4 linked regions of the Arabidopsis thaliana genome follow. The protein of the gene in region 1 interacts with the protein of each later gene in a pairwise test. Each region holds a gene or a part of one and is shown in the gene's direction. Other genes may lie near its edges. The genes, in order: RHA1, REP, p24beta2 and PRA1.B5.

Region 1 (4,330 bases):
AATTACTTTTCTTCTTTTGGATTAATGATTATTCCTGAGGTGGAGACTTTACTATATATAGAGAGAATGAGTTGGAAGATGGAACTTGGGAACAAATCGTCGTGGAATACGAGGTGTATTAGACTTTCAGTTGTGCAAAGGGACAAAACAACATGATCTGTTAAAATTTCTTTGTTTATACACCACAAATTAATGCATACACACACAGTATACATGTGTAACGTTTTTGATGTTCCCGTGAAAATAGATGTGTATTTAGAGCCTAGATGGATAGATTATGATTGGATGAAACATTTGTAATATTTTGACAAAAGTTTACCATTTACGTTAAATGTAATAGAATGAACATTCCTCTAAAAAAAAACTCCCTAAGCAAAAAATTACTATAAGGATGAATGGTATATCGCTTAGTCACGTTTTCAAACGCTATTTTTTTACATTCAAAATATTTATCAAATTTTTTTCGATTTCACGTTTTCGAAAAGTAATTCGGCTGTATACTACTAGGCTACTAGCATGTCAATATACCTAGAAAAAAACATGATTAATCCACTAGAACTATATTTTCATCCATTAAACTAATTTATTCAGTTCAATTCATTCCACTAATAATTATTCAGTTATTCCGTCATTTCACTATAATTATAAGTTATAGACAAGTTTTTTTTACTAACATGTTATAGCTATCCTTCAAAAATGGTACTTAGCAATAACATCTTATAGCTATTCTGAACATCCATAATGTTTTGTCATCCAATTTTGTTCTTCAAAATAAACAAGTTAAAATTAATTTCTCGTCTTCAATTCTAAATAATTGGCTCCACTGATGAAAGCCCATAACCCATATGGAAAAACGTGCATTTCAGCATTTGTGTAGATAGCGATATTTTGTTCGACTACACAGAAAGTTTTTTTTCTTTTTGACTACCAAAGAAATTTGATTCATAGTATCTTCGAGTTAGGTACCAAAACATGTAAAACAGTCTCGTCTTAAACCGTCCAATACGACTTCATGACCGACAAAATTAAATCACACGGCCAGTTTTGACGCGTGAGACAACAACCTACTATTGAGGATTTGGCTAAACACTCGCCACAATGCTTCTATTGTATTGACAATATTTGTGTTTATTTCATTTGTTATTAATAAAGACAAATATCATAAGTAATAATTGACTACTACTAATCCATAATTTAAAATGTTATTTTTTTTGAACCAAGGACTACATAACTAACAACTTGTGACTAAAGATTACAAAACATGTTTTAGTCGTTATTTTTAATCATTATAGTTTATAGTAATCGCTATTATTCGTTGTTATTGCTAACTATGAAATGAACATGGTTGTACATTTTGTCCCATCACTACCACCAAAATTTTTGGATTTTGTTGAAAAAAGGGAGACTAACCATGGTTTACAAAGAATCTATGAAATACTAACGAAACTATACACAATTATCGACTTTATTATTAAGAGACATCGTCTACAATATATGAAGGTCAGCGTGTAACATATTTTTGTTTTTGGGGCGTTTTTAGTATTTTAGACAAATATAGGGATTTATCGTAATTTCGATAATCTTGTGGTTTTTTTAGTTATAAGTCTCCTCTTGTCATATTCACGAGCCGTATAAAAAAGTTGTTTCTTTCTTCTCTGTTTTTTTGCTTTCGTCTTCAAGAGAGAGAGAGAGAGAGATACAAAGAGAGAAATTTGGTTGTTTGTTGACGGAAGCTTCTTCGGTCTCTCTTCTCCGTCTTACGATTGTCAACGCGTGGTTCCATCTTCAATTTTGTTTCTATTTTAGCAGAAGTTTCTCGAGCTTCAAATACTGTTTCAGATCAATCAATCAGTCAATCATGGCTAGCTCTGGAAACAAGAACATCAACGCCAAATTGGTCAGTTTAATTCTTCTGGATTTTGCTTATCCTTTGAAGGATGATCGTCAATTTTGATTAGATCGTTGATTTCGATGAGTTAGTTCTGTTTCCAATTTGGGGAATTTTCAACCAAATTCTCTGATCTGAAATTGGATGATTGTGATCGAATTAGAAATCGCATGGTTTATCAGTATAAAACTAGGGTTTGGAGTAAAGGTTATAGATTTTATTCGATCTGGTAGTTTTGTTTTAGGGTTCTAACGAGTCAGAAGAAAAATCTGTTTTTTTCCCCCTTTATTTTGTTTTTGGTGGTTAACTTGGTTAAGCGCTTCAGGTATTACTAGGAGATGTTGGAGCTGGAAAATCAAGTCTTGTGCTACGGTTTGTGAAAGATCAGTTTGTTGAATTTCAGGTTGGTTGGTGGCATTTTCCTCCTGTGATCTTGATAGAGGTTTTCTTCTCGTTCCTGTGGTTGATTCTTGACTTTTTGATACTCGTTTTGTTGTAGGAATCAACCATTGGTGCAGCTTTTTTCTCTCAAACATTGGCTGTGAATGATGCGACTGTGAAGTTTGAGATATGGGATACAGCTGGTCAGGAACGATACCACAGTTTGGCTCCAATGTACTACAGGGGTGCAGCTGCTGCTATTATTGTCTTTGACATTACTAATCAAGTACGAACTCACGATCCTTGTGTTTTTAGTCACGAATGCACTGACTTACAGAATATCAGTGGACTTTAGTGGCAGTTTAAGGCTCTCTGCAAAGTTAGGTTTGCTTAATTTTTGTTTTTCTATTGCCACAGGCCTCATTTGAGAGGGCGAAGAAATGGGTTCAGGAACTGCAGGCACAAGGTATGGAATAGCTGACTTTGGTTTTAGCTAGTTTATGATTCCTACTTTCTGATAGTTGGTGTGGTTTATTTGGTATCATTATATGTTAATGTGGATCATGTGAATAGGTAACCCTAATATGGTGATGGCTCTTGCTGGAAACAAAGCTGATTTATTAGACGCAAGGAAGGTGTCTGCAGAGGTAAACTAAATCTTTCTTTCTTTTGCTGTCTGATTTTGCTTTGCTAATGCCAAAAATCTTGATGAAATTCGAAAGTACCGGGAGAAAATGTTAACTAACACTCGGGGATGAGATTCGACTGGTGCCTGTGAAATCTTCTATTACATCACCTACCGACTTGTTTTTTTCATTACTGAGTTGTGTTGTTAAGTAGTTCTTGATATTGTTATTTACAGGAGGCAGAGATATATGCTCAAGAGAACAGCCTTTTCTTTATGGAAACCTCAGCGAAGACCGCAACAAATGTCAAAGACATATTCTACGAAATAGGTGAGTCATTCTTTCATCAAGAAAGCTATTTCCAACAATTAGTTGTTTTCAATTAAATCCCTTTTTCACTTTTGTTTCTCTTGTTCAAACCGCTACAGCGAAAAGGCTACCACGTGTACAGCCAGCTGAAAACCCGACAGGAATGGTTCTCCCAAACGGGCCAGGGGCTACGGCAGTGAGTTCATCGTGTTGTGCTTAGATTCGTACCTGAAGAGAGATCTCATTTGGTTAGTCACATAGTAGAGAACATCTGGACTTTCATGTGTTTGCTTCTTCTTCGTCTTTGTTACTTTACTTTGCTTGCATTGACAACAACAACAGTGTATATCATGATGATACTTATTCTGCCTTTGTGAAATCTGAAGATATTTGTATTTGGAGAGATTTATATATATATATCTCTTTTGTAATTAGAAAACAAAACTTAGTCCGAAAAAAATGTGCTTATCTTTCGTTTATGTTTTAAGTGAATGCTCAGATTTATAGGCTTATTATCTTTTGTATTACTTAAATCTCCAAAATGTTTTTTCCATTGTTGGAATGCTGTAATATGAATGTATATATCAATAAAAGAAACACCTTTGAAAAAAAAAAGTGGCATTGCTTCTCTCTCCCTTCTCTTCTTTCATCTTTCAAAGAGAAAGAAGTTTTTCCGTTCAGATTTTGCCGGCGTTCTTCTCCAATGACTTTGGTCTCACTTCGATAGCATCTTCGTCCGGCTATGAATTAAGTGGAATGATATTCTTGTCAAAGCTTTCGATTTCCAATTGATGAACTGCAACTTGAAGATTGAAAAGCTGTTGTTTGAAGAAGAAGATTCACAAATTTGAATAAAGTGGAGTCATATTCTCGTCAAAGCTAAAATATGAATTTCGCCTTTGTATCTTTGGGCCAAGATTGAGATCTGCCGATTGAACAAATTTTGGCCGGAATTGAAACTTTCCAACGTCTCAAAGACGTCACAACGATCTGTGGGTGATCGGAGACTCCCATCCCTTCCACTTCCCACGTGTCTTCCAAACCTGTTTCCCATTTGCAACATGTTTTATATGTTGTGTACAACAAGCTTTTCCTTTAGTTGGACTTGTTTGTTTCAGTATTTGTG
Region 2 (5,372 bases), on another chromosome or scaffold:
TTTACGTCGCTGTAAGCAAACCCTGCTACAACAGATAGAAACAAGTTGAAAGCCAGACAGATACAAACAAACTGATTGGCTTTTTGTTGCTCTGTTTTCAGATCTCTTATAGGCTCTTTGAGCTTACCAACACTTTGAAAACAGCCTTCATACCAACCAAGGACGACAAACGCCTTGTCTACAACACGATCTCAGCACTCATAATCTGCACTTGTCTCTACTTTTTCTCATTTATTCTTATCACAATTCCCCAAAAACTGGTAAGTCAAAATTTTATCTTTTTGTGTGGGAGAAAGCTTTTTTTTCCCTGGTACTTGAGTTCATTGATATGTTAGTGCATACACAAAGCGAGGACGAATGTCATCCTCTCATATTCGATTGAACCATCTCACGTTTTATTATTTCACTGGAAACAAACAGGTGTGAAGCACTTCTGAACCGGACCAGAGTGGACTATTCGAATGAATTCATAGGAGTTGAACTACGCGATATGGTAGATATACGAAGATAGAAATCAGAGGTAGATGCATACAATGTTGCTGTAATGTCATCTTTCTGTATATTTATTTATGAATAAGGTGTTCTTTCTTGTTTATTTGTGTTTCTGTTCACGATGATGTTAAGACTTATTATTGTCTATTACAAGTTAAAGGAAATCCATATGAGTAATTGTATAGCTATAAAATCCAGATTAATCTTACATCAAAGTAAAATATGATGGACTTGCAAAAGCCATTACTTTAATGTAAGGAAACATTGATATACTTAGATAGAAAGTGTAGTCATAGCATGTGTGTCAAGCTTGTCCTCTATTGCTCGGTAGGCAGAGAAAGTGTCCGAGTCTTCCCATTTGGAGAAATTATACGCGGGCCCAAAGGAAAGCAAAAAATGAGGTACTGATATTAAAAACAATAACAGTACCTTATAGTCACCCCGGTATAGATTGTTAGACATGCTAAAGAGACAAGATAACCAACCGAGGAAGAGCGTGTACAAAGCATGTCCGATCTCCATCCTAAACTTATCCGATAGCTGAATCAGCCCTAACCCTCCGGTGAACAACGAGATGGTGAATAACGACATGGACAATTCAAACTCTTTGTTTGTCAATAGCTCATATATTAAGGGCAATGCCAACGCTAAATTTGCGGAAAATGTCGAAAACAAAACCTGAGGTACTCTCTCCAACTTTGTAGTAAACTCCTTGTAGCAAGCGGAAGGAGGAGCGGTGAAAAAAAGATATCTGAGTAGCGTCACTGCGTAGAATGTTGTGACACTGACCGCACCGTCCCTAAAGGACTGAGACGATGAATCTCCAGGTGGCCAGAGAAGATTGAGTGATTTGGAGAGGCCAAAAAGTGAGAGTAGAGTCATTATATACCATATTCCTCTGCAAACAAACACATCCATATCACTAATCTTCTTCTCCATCGTGTGTGTGTTTTTACTAGGACTATGGGGTTTCGGAGATTTAATAGTCGTCGTGAATTCGTTTTTCGATTTCTTTTATTTAGTTAGTTAAATCTGCTTTTATCCAGAAGAATGTGGTATATCTCTATTATTAGTTAAAAGTGGTTAGAAGATTTTCATAATCACAACAAACAAAAGAAATCTTCGCAATCTTTATCTAACACTTTTTTTTTTCAAGATATATAAAATTCTTTTATATTCAACAAAGAAAATAGTTCAAAAAATCACATTATAAGTGGACCACTGACCAGTAAAGTGAACGAAGAAAGTATAAACTCTATTTTCTTCAATTAAACCGTTTATATAAAAAAAAAAATCATATTTTAAGTTTCTAACATAAGAAAAACAGTAGACCCTATAGTCTATGCGTTGATTAAGAAGATGGGCCATGTTGGGCCGATTCACACTTACCTCTTTTATTCATTTACATCTTAGGCCCATTACGTTTGTATATGTAATGTAAGAAGAAACTTCTTCTTCTCTTGAACCTCTTCCTCGATTCTCCTCACTCATCTCAACATCTTCCCAGATTATTCAACGCTCGTGTATCGATCAAGCTACTGAAGTCACGTTGGTTCGACTTTTGATACACAAATCTGTTCGAGCCACCATGATCGACATCCCTCCTTACCCGCCGCTTGATCCTTCCAACTACGATCTCATTGTCGTCGGCACCGGAGTCTCTGAGTCCGTCTTAGCCGCCGCTGCTTCCTCCTCCGGTAGTTCTGTTCTCCACCTCGACCCTAACCCCTTCTACGGCTCTCACTTCGCCTCTCTTTCCCTTCCCGATCTCACTTCTTTCCTTCACTCAAACTCCGTTTCTCCTCCTCCGTCGCCGTCATCTCCTCCTCTCCCTCCGTCAAACAACCATGATTTTATCTCCGTGGATCTCGTTAACCGATCCTTGTATTCCTCCGTGGAGATTTCGAGCTTCGAATCGGAGATCCTCGAAGAACACTCTAGAAGATTCAACGTTGACTTGGCTGGTCCTAGGGTTGTCTTCTGTGCCGATGAATCAATTAATCTCATGCTGAAATCAGGAGCTAACAACTACGTTGAGTTCAAGAGCATCGATGCCAGCTTCGTTGGGGATTCGAGCGGTGAGCTACGAAATGTGCCGGATTCGAGAGCTGCTATATTCAAGGACAAGAGCTTGACTCTGTTGGAGAAGAATCAGCTCATGAAATTCTTCAAGCTTGTTCAAAGTCACTTGGCTTCTTCTACCGAAAAAGATGATTCAACAACAGTCAAGATATCGGAGGAAGATATGGAGAGTCCATTTGTGGACTTCTTGTCAAAGATGCGTTTACCACCCAAAATCAAATCGTATAACCTCCTTCTCTGTTAATGGCAGCTCTTTGGACATTTGTCTCTGCTTAATGCTTCTTAGAATTTTGTCTCTGAAATGTTGATAGGTAAGGCTTTGTTTCCTCTTCTTCTGTGTAGGATCATCTTGTATGCCATTGCGATGCTAGATTATGATCAAGACAATACGGAAACTTGTAGACATTTACTCAAGACCAAAGAGGGGATAGATCGATTGGCTCTATACATCACATCTATGGGCAGGTCATTCATCATTTTCTCATTCCTGGCTCTTACACATTTGTGATCATCTTTCTTATTGGTTTACATTATCATTGGTTATATTGAGTATAATTTAGCTTTTGATTCTCTACCTTAGGTTTTCTAACGCACTTGGGGCGTTGATATACCCAATTTATGGACAAGGAGAACTTCCACAAGCCTTTTGTCGTCGGGCTGCTGTCAAAGGATGTATCTATGTACGTTTGGAACAATTTTCTGCATTGTGTACTGTGTTGCTGTTGTGGTATTTGTTACTTATTTAGTCTTTCATTGTTTTCACAGGTTCTCCGGATGCCTATTACTGCTCTGCTTTTAGACAAGGCAAGTTAGCTGACAGTTGTAGCATAAGATAAGTTTAGTTGACGGAAAGGATTCTTACTTGATTATTTTAAACTCTTTTTGCAGGAAACTGGGGGTTACAAAGGGGTTAGATTAGCTTCTGGTCAAGAGATATTCAGCCAAAAGTTGATTCTGGATCCATGTGTTACTGTTGGATTAGAGTCTCTGTCGTCATTGACAGATCAGCAAAATGAAACTCTCAGTGTTCTTGTCCCAAAGTCGATGATCAATAAGGAGAAAATTGCAAGAGGAGTATGCGTCATTAGAGGTTCTGTGAAAGCTAATGTATCAAACGCTCTTGTCGTTTATCCACCTAAATGTAAGCTAATTTTTGAAGACCCACTAGTTAGTTGTTTCACTTACATGTATATCGTCTTTTGCGTTTTGAAGGTTCTAACATTAATAGTTTTTTCCTCTTAGCTTTGTTTCCAGAACAGCTAACTGCAATTCGGGTTCTGCAGCTTGGTAGTGGTTTAGCGGTTTGTCCTGCTGACATGTAAGTTGTGGTTTAGCCTAAGATGATCTTTTCCCATTTTAGTTCTGTTTCTTTCCATTTGCTTAGCTTTAACTGTTCTCTAAGCCATATATATTTGCTGCTGCAGGCATGTTTTATATCTTTCAACTTTGTGCGACAATGATGACCAAGGGATAAAGGCGCTATTATCAGCCATGAGTAATCTCATCAGTTTGCCTGTTCCCGAGAATCGTCAAAGCGATTCCGTTGTTGAGAATGATACTTCTGAGACAAAACCTATTCTACTCTGGAGAGCACTGTACGTGCAAGAGCTAGTCAAGGTGGAAAATGTGATTGGGAATTTACCTTTTCATTTCGACGTTGGTAATGTCATTTTCACTAAATAAAAGTTTGATTTGGATCAGGGTGAATTTGGAGGTACGATCAGTTCCATGCCTAGTCCAGATGGAAACTTGAACTACAATGAGATAGTGGAATCAGCCGTGAAGGTTAGTAGAAGCTCCTTACAGCAGTTATCTCATTAAGTTATGGTTTTGATAATGTTATCATATTGGATTTGGTAGCTATATGAAAAGCTCATGGGGAGTGAAGAATTATTTAAAGAAGAGACCTCACCGGCGGAGAACACAACGGAGGAGGAAAACGATGGTGGTGTTGAAATAGAAGATTGATTGATGAATGAAACCATTGGTTTTAAAGACTTAGAATACCCATTTATTTATTTGATTGTAACATATAGTTACCCCGTTATTAGAGGGGAAGCAGGAAGATTGGCAGAGGGAGGGTGAGCCATTTTCTTTACTTATTCACTAGAGAGCAACTATGATTAGGGAAGAAATAAAGGATTGAGAAGAAGTGATTAATCCACGACCGCTTGTCTAACCATTGAAACTCCACAAACTTTAAATCAACGACTAAAAAGAAATAATGAATTTGTATAGAAATTAATTTATTCAGACATCTTTTACCGATCACAACCATAATCGTTCTATGTTTCTCTTTGAATAAACACTTCCGATTTCGTATATTTCGACTCCAATTCTGATTTTCATGGCCAAGTCCAGAAACTTAAAAAATCAAGGAAGATATCATTATCGACTAGGAAATTTGACTTTGAAGTCAAGATTAAGAATTTGAATGCTTTTTTCGAGATCGTTGGGTTAATGTTATCATATGTAATGTGGTGCCAAGCTCTCATTATGAGGCCCAATTATGAGGGTTTGGTTATTCTCTGGAGAGAATCGTCAATCGTTTATCCAATCCCAAAGGTTGACACTTGACAGAATTTAAAGCCCATTGGGTCTGAATTAGCGTCGGAATTGGACCCGAAATAATTCTATCAATTAAAGATTAAAACAGAACTACACGCGTGTAGGAATTTAAAATACAAAACCACTCGCATCACAGGCGCGTTTCGGCGCGTGAGACTATAATCCGTGGACTATAACCCTCCTTTTCGGGGATTTTTGCATAAATTTAAAATTGAAAAGACTTGCAGCGC
Region 3 (4,221 bases), on another chromosome or scaffold:
GCCTTAGTTCCATGGGCAGATATGCTTAATCATAATTGTGAGGTACTTCTACTTATCTTTATGACCAATTAGCTCCTAGATTCTCCTAATCAGAAAGCATGATTGACTTATGGTAATCAATATTTCAAAATCTGCTTGGAAAGGTTGAGACGTTCCTGGATTATGATAAATCTTCAAAAGGAGTTGTCTTTACAACAGATCGACCATATCAACCAGGTGAGCAGGTAAATAAGATAAATTCATTCAGATAACCTGAGCGAGCATTGAAGTTTAATATAAGTCAGTGTATAACACAAAGAAGTCCCGTTTACACAGTTTGCCTTTTAGCGCTTCAGTAAGTCAGTCCAAAGTGGAACCAATGTTGTCTGAAGTCTCTGATATGTTTCAGTAACATGACATTGTGCAGGTTTTCATATCCTATGGGAATAAATCTAACGGAGAGCTATTGTTATCTTATGGGTTTGTTCCCAGAGAAGGAACCAATCCTAGTGATTCAGTAGAACTAGCATTATCACTTAGGAAAAACGATAAGTGTTACGAGGAAAAGCTGGATGCTTTAAAGAAACACGGATTATCGACGTATTCCATTCTCCACCATCCATGTTCCCCTCTCAAATTTGTAGATCTCTCTTGATTAACTTGAGTTTTGTTTTGATTGTTTGTGTTAACTTTTCTCTGGCAGACCTCAATGCTTTCCCGTAAGGATAACGGGTTGGCCAATGGAGCTAATGGCATATGCTTATCTTGTGGTGAGCCCTCCAGATATGAGAAACAACTTTGAAGAGGTTTGGCAACTCCATCTTGACCCTTTTTACCATCCAATTCTTCCCAAATTCATAATACATCTCTTATCAATTATTATCCATTTCAGATGGCGAAAGCTGCTTCAAATAAGACATCAACAAAGAATGATCTAAAATATCCTGAAATCGAGGAAGACGCATTGCAGTTCATACTGGACTCATGCGAAACAAGCATATCAAAGTACAGCCGATTTCTAAAGGTAAGTAACAAAACAGCTCATCTCTCTCTCTTTGTGGGAAAATTTTCACTCCATCTGCTTATAGTTTGCTTTGTCAATTATCTAATTGTAGGAAAGTGGATCAATGGATTTGGACATAACATCTCCAAAACAGTTGAACCGAAAAGCGTTTCTGAAACAGCTAGCTGTAGACTTGTCCACTAGTGAGCGCAGGATACTGTACCGTGCTCAATACGTAAGGAACAACTTTCTAGCCAATACGATAGATAAGAGTCTGTGGATCGATCCATGATATTGTGGAATCTGTGTTTTTTTTTTTGTTTTGTTTGGGTCAGATTCTGAGGAGGAGACTGAGAGATATCAGAAGTGGTGAGCTGAAGGCTCTACGGCTCTTCAGTGGACTTAGGAACTTCTTCAAGTGAATGTTGAATGAGGACATTTCAACAGCTTTAAGATGGATCAAAGGTAGGCCTCGTTGTGCTTCAACCAAAAATGTAGTTTTTTATTACAAAAAAATTGAACGTTGGTGTAGGCATGGTTGGATCTGTCTCACTCGTATAGGAATATATTGGTCCAGCCATATATGTAATTTGATCATTTTCTATAAACTCAAAACCTGAACCTAAATTGATTAATTAAGGAAACGCATGAGAGAGTAAGGGTAGAAACATGTTCTTCGTATTTGATCCGAATCGAACTGAAATAATCGATCCAACAAACAAAGATAATTTGAAAATTAAGAATATATCTGACTACAACTCATAACGAAAACCGTACCAAAACTCACACTCCTTGTTACCGCAAACAAGATAATCTGATGGTACACGTCAGAACATTTGTTTCTTTAGCAAAGCAAGTAAACATTCCACTGTGGCAAAGTAAAAAACGAGAAACCTATAAAGTCTTCCTAATGAAACGTACTGATTTTATGGAGTTTCCATTTTCGACATAATATGACGTGGCAATATCTAAATGGTTTAAAGATGTTTTATCTCCAATGATATAACGCCACGTAAGCCCGCTGACCAAATAACCCAAAGAGTAAGCAAGCGACGTCGTTTATAGTTTGATGATCTTGTCGGGTAACGAAACTGCCCCTTGAGTCAAAACAGGCTTCTTCGTGTCCGATTCTGAACGAGCTCGCTCTTTCTCATCCAATTCTCTCCACCGTCTTCTACTCCGATCAATCTTCAAATTTTCTTAACACTCATCGACCAGATCGAGTTTCCATCGATCTAATCAATCAATCATCAGATTTGATCTTCTCAAGAAGGTAAATCCCTCTCACTCTCTGTGTCAAACCTAATCACCTCGTAGGAATCGAAATTGGAACAATTCAATTTGGTTTGGTTTGGAATCTCTAGTCGATTCTTCTTCTAAACGATTGAATTGCGTTTTGTGCTTTGATATAATTCGAAATTATTGTGGCAGATGAGCTTGAAGGGTACGATCGTATTACTAGGGCTCTTATGGAGCTTCCAGGCTACGTTAGGGATTAGATTCGTGATAGACCGTGAAGAATGTTTCTCCCACAAGGCTGAATATGAAGGTGATACGCTTCATGTCTCTTTCGTCGTCATCAAGTCTGACTCTCAATGGCATTTTAACGAGGATGGTGTAGATCTTGTGGTATGACTTTTTTTCTTCTAATTGAACTTTTCTACATTCTACATTGCAAAATCGTCGAAAATCAATAGAATTGGTATTCCTAAACAATGCTTAGGATTTCCATTGTTAATGTTGGTAGATAATTTGAAGTATGTATTGATAAAGAATTTGGTTACTCTTTAAAGCTGTTATATTGTACCATCTGGTTAATTTGGTGGTTGTTGTTGTTGTTGATATATTTTGGATGCATTTTGAATAGATACATGGCCCAACAGGCGAACAAATTCATGACTTCAGGGAGCAGATAAGCGCAAAGCATGATTTTGTTGTCCAAAAAAAAGGGGTTTACAGATTCTGTTTCACAAACAAGTCTCCTTATCATGAAACCATTGACTTCGATGTACAGCTTGGTCACTTTGCATACTACGATCAACACGCAAAGGACGGTAAGGATTATCTGTTTAGTTTTGTTTCAGTTTCGTTTGGTGATGAGGTATTTAGCTGAAGATGGTTTTTGTGCAGAGCATTTCACTCCCTTGATGGAGCAAATATCAAAGTTAGAGGAGGCTCTTTACAACATCCAATTTGAACAACATTGGTTAGAAGCTCAGACCGATCGTCAAGCTATCGGTAACATTTTTTCCTCTAAAAACCACATTTGTTGTTCTCACTTCAATATTGAGTGATGGTTTGAATATGGTTGTTCCTTGTGCAGTGAACGAGAACATGAGCAAAAGAGCAGTACACAAAGCTTTGTTCGAGTCGTTTGCACTGATTGGGGCAAGTTTTCTCCAAGTTTATCTTCTGCGTCGCTTGTTTGAACGCAAACTCGGCATGTCTCGTGTCTAAAAGTATCGAGTTTATTATGACTTTGAACTTATTTTGCCTTAAAATGTACCAGGGAATCTTTACTTAAAACCTTTTTACAGACAGATCGTAGTTCATTGGAAGATTTGCTTTCTCCCATGTTCAAGAACTAATCCTCTCGTGATGATAATTCTTTTTTTTCTCTTTATTAACAGACAACTTTTCCACAAGCTAGGTTTTCATTTCAATAGAGAAAATAGTGATTCCTTAAAACCTTTTTTCCCTAAAACAAAGAGAATAACAATGTGATCAAGCTTTGAATAAGACGTGTCAAAAGTACTCAAAATCCCTTAACTGGATTCGAACTCTTATAGAGAAGGTTATAAAAGTGGACACTAGACTAAGTTAGTTGGGCCCAGAGTAGATAGATAAAGCCAGCTATCATTTTCTTAGTCGTCGTACAAGTTACCTGAAAATAAAATAAAAACACAAACTTTCCTGAAAAAGTCGTCTCCAGTTTTAAGCATTGATAAATCCGACAAGAAGTCCGATTTTGTTCCATAGCTTGCTTGTGTTTTTAGTGGATTGAGTCACTGAAAGAGAAATCATAAGGCTTTGTTGATGATGGATCATTTGGTGGAGACGAATTCAGTTCCGAGCAGATTGGTGGAAGAAAGGCTTGATGAGATTCGTAGAGTAATGGGTAAAGCTGATGACGACCCGTTAAGGATCGTTGGTGTAGGAGCTGGTGCTTGGGGAAGCGTTTTCATTGCAATGTTGCAGGAAAATTACGGTAAGTTTAGGGGCAAAGTTAGTGTGAGAAT
Region 4 (3,451 bases), about 18 Mb from region 1:
CTGGGTGGTCTTACTCTCTTTATCCGCTTGACTAAAAAAAATTGGCGTCGAGTGATAGAGACGAAGAAGAAGAAGAAAATGCCGTGCCTCAACCTCTCCACCAACGTTAACCTTGACGGCGTCGATACATCTTCCATTCTCTCGGAAGCTTCCTCCACCGTCGCGAAAATCATCGGCAAGCCTGAGAACGTAATCCCTTTTTCTCTCTCGATTTAACCTCTAGTTCGTTTCGTTCTGTTCGAATTTTGTTTCGATTCTTCGTTTTCTCCTGAGATTTGCCTTGTGTGCGTCTTTATCTCTTAATCATTTTCTTCTCCTTATTGAATAACAGCGATTCGAGTGTTGTTTTCTTCACATGCATGATATAGAAACCCTAAGCAATTTTATCTCGTTGCTCCGTTCTATTCTAGTGGTTCACATTTCCGGAGTCTTCTCTTGACTTATTTGTACAATCTTCGTTGGGGTTCTTCTTTTTTATTTTACCACGATTTCTAGGCCATTCCTGGCCCTTGAATTTCTCATTGCTGAAGTTTGTTTTCAAAAACAATATTGGTCTGCTTTGACGATTGCTTGTTTATGTTAGTGATGTTTAAATATTTTTGTCCTGTAATGTTGTTTCTTAGATCATTATCTGATTGCATTGTTCATTGTGGTAATTTGCAGTATGTGATGATTGTCTTGAAAGGCTCAGTGCCTATGTCATTTGGCGGGACCGAGGATCCTGCAGCTTATGGTGAATTAGTTTCTATCGGTGGCCTTAATGCGGATGTGAACAAGAAGCTAAGCGCTGCTGTTTCCGCCATTCTTGAGACTAAGCTATCGGTGCCCAAGTCTCGATTCTTCCTCAAGTTTTATGACACCAAGGCAAGCAATTCCCTCTCTCTGATAACTTTTTTGATGTAGTGACATAACATATGCAAATGTGTTAATGATTTCATATGCCCGATATGCGTCCATGTCTCATTTTCATTGTTCGTTGTCTCTCTAGGACCATCAAAGTCAAGAATATGCACAATGTTTACACGCTTTACACCAGCACTACTAGGTCATGAATAGGGAACAAATACATCTTATGTGTGTAAGTTCATCATCATAAGACGGACCTATAACTTTTACTCATAAACTAGGCATTATAAACAATTAAATCAAATGCATAAACCGTTCCACTACTCGAATTCAATCTTTACACCCACACTGTTGAGTTATTTAGGAGATTCGTTCAACTTCTCTAAATCCGTTGTCTAACTGGCTTAGAGGGTCATCCATCATCTGGAGTGTTTATGCCTATAACCACCTGATATATCAATTATACATTTCTTTTCTCGTGTGGTTCTTCTTGCAGGGATCCTTCTTTGGTTGGAACGGGGCGACTCTTTAATTCCGTGGTAGGTGATTAGTGTGATTGTCTTGAAATGTATGATCTACTCTCATCGATCAAGTAACTTTGAACTACTTCGTATTGTAAACATATCTAAGGTTTGATGGAGTTGCATTAAGAAATAACATTTATGCTATATATGATGCTACAACTTACTATCAGGGTAAACAATGGTTATTTAGTCTTTGTCTACTCGTTAGATATAATTATGTTTAGAATTCGAAGATGAATGTTATCAAAGAAAAAAGGATTTGACATTGTCAAGTCTACTACTCCATATGACAGATCAACATTGTGTTAAAAATATTTTCTATTAGGGAAACTTCCTGTGACTGGAACATTAATGGTCAAATGCACTTTGCCTAAGTAATCAAGAATTATTGTATAAACTACGTTAAGCAAAAAAATAACCTGAGTTATAATATCAGGAGGTTATTTTTATTTTTATTTTAGCAAATGAATATAGATTAGCTATCAGATGAAGCAAGGTGTATAATCAAAGTTGAAAGACGCGTAATTGTGATCCTATATATACATAACACTACCGCAACTTCAGCAACCTCTAAATCATTCGTCTCCTAAAATTTTCCAATCTCAAAATCCCAAAAGAACAAAATCGAATGGTGTCAACAAATCCCCCTGTTCTTCCAATTTCCACCACCGCAACAGACACCACCAATCAGCCTCCGATTGTAACCGCTGTGGTGGAATCGCAACCTCCAGTCGTCCGTGCATTTGTCAACGGTGTGACCGAGACGGTCTGTGGTGGTCTATCTCGTAGCCGTCCGTGGTCAGAGCTCCTCGATCGATCCGCTTTCACAAAGCCTGACTCTCTCTCCGAGGCCGGGACGCGATTCCGGAAAAATTCCTCTTATTTCAGGGTGAATTACGTTTGCATTGTCGCTCTGATCCTTGGTTTCTCTCTTCTCGCCCACCCATTCTCTCTCATCCTCCTCCTATGTCTCGCCGCTTCCTGGCTCTTCCTCTACCTCTTCCGTCCATCAGATCGTCCTCTTATCCTCTTCGGCCGATCTTTCTCCGAATACGAAACTCTCGGTGGCCTAATCCTCTCCACGATCGCAGTGATCTTCTTCACAAGCGTCGGATCTGTATTGATATCCGCTCTCATGATCGGAATAGCAACAATCTGTGTCCATGGCGCCTTTAGAGCTCCCGATGATCTCTTCCTCGACGAACAAGATCATGCCGCCTCCGGATTCCTCTCATTCATCGGTGTTCCCGCGATCCCCTCTGTAGCACCCTCTGCCTCCTCAGCGGCTTCCCCCGTGTAAATTATAGTTCTCAGAATCTGGCGTGTTTAGAGATTTGAAGGTGGAGATTGTTGCAATGTAATTTTCTGTGATACTTGACCATTGTTGCAATGTAATTTTCATTGAAGTCAGTCACCAATCACATTGAACAGATGTTTTAAAATGTCCACGTAAGCAATTATTGTTTGGAACGATTTCGGGTTAGCATTCGTGCCGTTAGTTACCGCAATAAAAGGCCGTGGCAATATCACACTTGTCTTGGAACGCTATGTCCGTAAAAACCAAGCCCAAAGTTAAAATAAAACCACGCGTCTCATAATTTCGGCCCAAATCTTTTTCAACTTTCCCGCCTTTGTCAGAACTTTTAACTTTTTGGATTTTTGGTGATGATTTTGGTTTGGGGAAAGAAAATAAAACAATAAAAATAAAAATTCCGCACTCCCGACTCCTCCCTCTTGGCGTGGTAGGCAATTCTGAATCGCGAGGTTTAGTTCTCCGGCTGAATCATATAACGACGAATCGGAAAACTTGGAAACCCTAGAACTGAATAAATGTCGACGTGGCATTTATTTTCCGATTCCAGCGGCGATGGTTTCCGGTGGGAAGTCGCTGGCCGGATTCTTCAGTCCGTCTCGGATTCTACGCCAACCAAGGCGCTCGAATCGACAGCTCCTCTACCTTCCATGGCCGATCTCTTGCTCCAAGGTGATTCTTCGTATCTTCCTTTTCTTTGTCGAATCGTGTTTGTCATGTGACTCAAAGGAGATTGAATTATTATTTGATGCTTCAAGGATGCTCGAAG

Evidence for each region.
Region 2: the proteins of RHA1 (region 1) and REP interact in a two-hybrid assay, tested with the Arabidopsis thaliana proteins (one large-scale study listed by BioGRID).
Region 3: the proteins of RHA1 (region 1) and p24beta2 interact in a protein complementation assay, tested with the Arabidopsis thaliana proteins (one large-scale study listed by BioGRID).
Region 4: the proteins of RHA1 (region 1) and PRA1.B5 interact in a two-hybrid assay, tested with the Arabidopsis thaliana proteins (one large-scale study listed by BioGRID).

What each region holds. Positions count from the first base shown.
Region 1 is NC_003076.8:18,242,637-18,246,966, forward strand, and holds RHA1 (Ras small GTP-binding family protein), read left to right. Parts: upstream 1-1,626; 5' UTR 1,627-1,858; coding exon of another isoform or gene 1,859-1,897; 5' UTR 1,898-2,032; coding exon 2,033-2,095; intron 2,096-2,213; coding exon 2,214-2,291; intron 2,292-2,387; coding exon 2,388-2,555; intron 2,556-2,686; coding exon 2,687-2,735; intron 2,736-2,842; coding exon 2,843-2,916; intron 2,917-3,131; coding exon 3,132-3,225; intron 3,226-3,323; coding exon 3,324-3,424; 3' UTR 3,425-3,814; downstream 3,815-4,330. UniProt on the Arabidopsis thaliana protein: Involved in the trafficking of soluble cargo proteins from the prevacuolar compartment to the central vacuole. Involved in vacuolar transport of storage proteins with EREX as effector. Regulates membrane trafficking to protein storage vacuoles (PSVs).
Region 2 is NC_003074.8:2,034,371-2,039,742, reverse strand, and holds REP (Rab escort protein), read left to right. Parts: upstream 1-1,951; 5' UTR 1,952-2,080; coding exon 2,081-2,796; intron 2,797-2,916; coding exon 2,917-3,039; intron 3,040-3,154; coding exon 3,155-3,254; intron 3,255-3,339; coding exon 3,340-3,378; intron 3,379-3,462; coding exon 3,463-3,715; intron 3,716-3,816; coding exon 3,817-3,892; intron 3,893-3,998; coding exon 3,999-4,191; intron 4,192-4,275; coding exon 4,276-4,359; intron 4,360-4,434; coding exon 4,435-4,542; 3' UTR 4,543-4,830; downstream 4,831-5,372. Other genes in the region: RWA2 (O-acetyltransferase family protein), read left to right, coding at 1-11, 102-335; AT3G06545 (uncharacterized protein), read right to left, coding at 766-842, 933-1,431. UniProt on the Arabidopsis thaliana protein: Substrate-binding subunit of the Rab geranylgeranyltransferase (GGTase) complex. Binds unprenylated Rab proteins and presents the substrate peptide to the catalytic component composed of the alpha subunit RGTA and the beta subunit RGTB.
Region 3 is NC_003074.8:2,453,214-2,457,434, forward strand, and holds p24beta2 (emp24/gp25L/p24 family/GOLD family protein), read left to right. Parts: upstream 1-2,025; 5' UTR 2,026-2,255; intron 2,256-2,413; coding exon 2,414-2,611; intron 2,612-2,849; coding exon 2,850-3,036; intron 3,037-3,112; coding exon 3,113-3,220; intron 3,221-3,305; coding exon 3,306-3,439; 3' UTR 3,440-3,705; downstream 3,706-4,221. Other genes in the region: AT3G07670 (Rubisco methyltransferase family protein), read left to right, coding at 1-42, 144-224, 407-579, 683-785, 872-1,003, 1,095-1,217, 1,318-1,404; AT3G07690 (6-phosphogluconate dehydrogenase family protein), read left to right, coding at 4,019-4,221. UniProt on the Arabidopsis thaliana protein: Involved in vesicular protein trafficking. Mainly functions in the early secretory pathway but also in post-Golgi membranes.
Region 4 is NC_003076.8:240,661-244,111, reverse strand, and holds PRA1.B5 (prenylated RAB acceptor 1.B5), read left to right. Parts: upstream 1-1,789; 5' UTR 1,790-1,998; coding exon 1,999-2,670; 3' UTR 2,671-2,900; downstream 2,901-3,451. Other genes in the region: AT5G01650 (Tautomerase/MIF superfamily protein), read left to right, coding at 79-189, 664-864, 989-1,045; BRCA2B (BRCA2-like B), read left to right, coding at 3,201-3,354, 3,441-3,451. UniProt on the Arabidopsis thaliana protein: May be involved in both secretory and endocytic intracellular trafficking in the endosomal/prevacuolar compartments.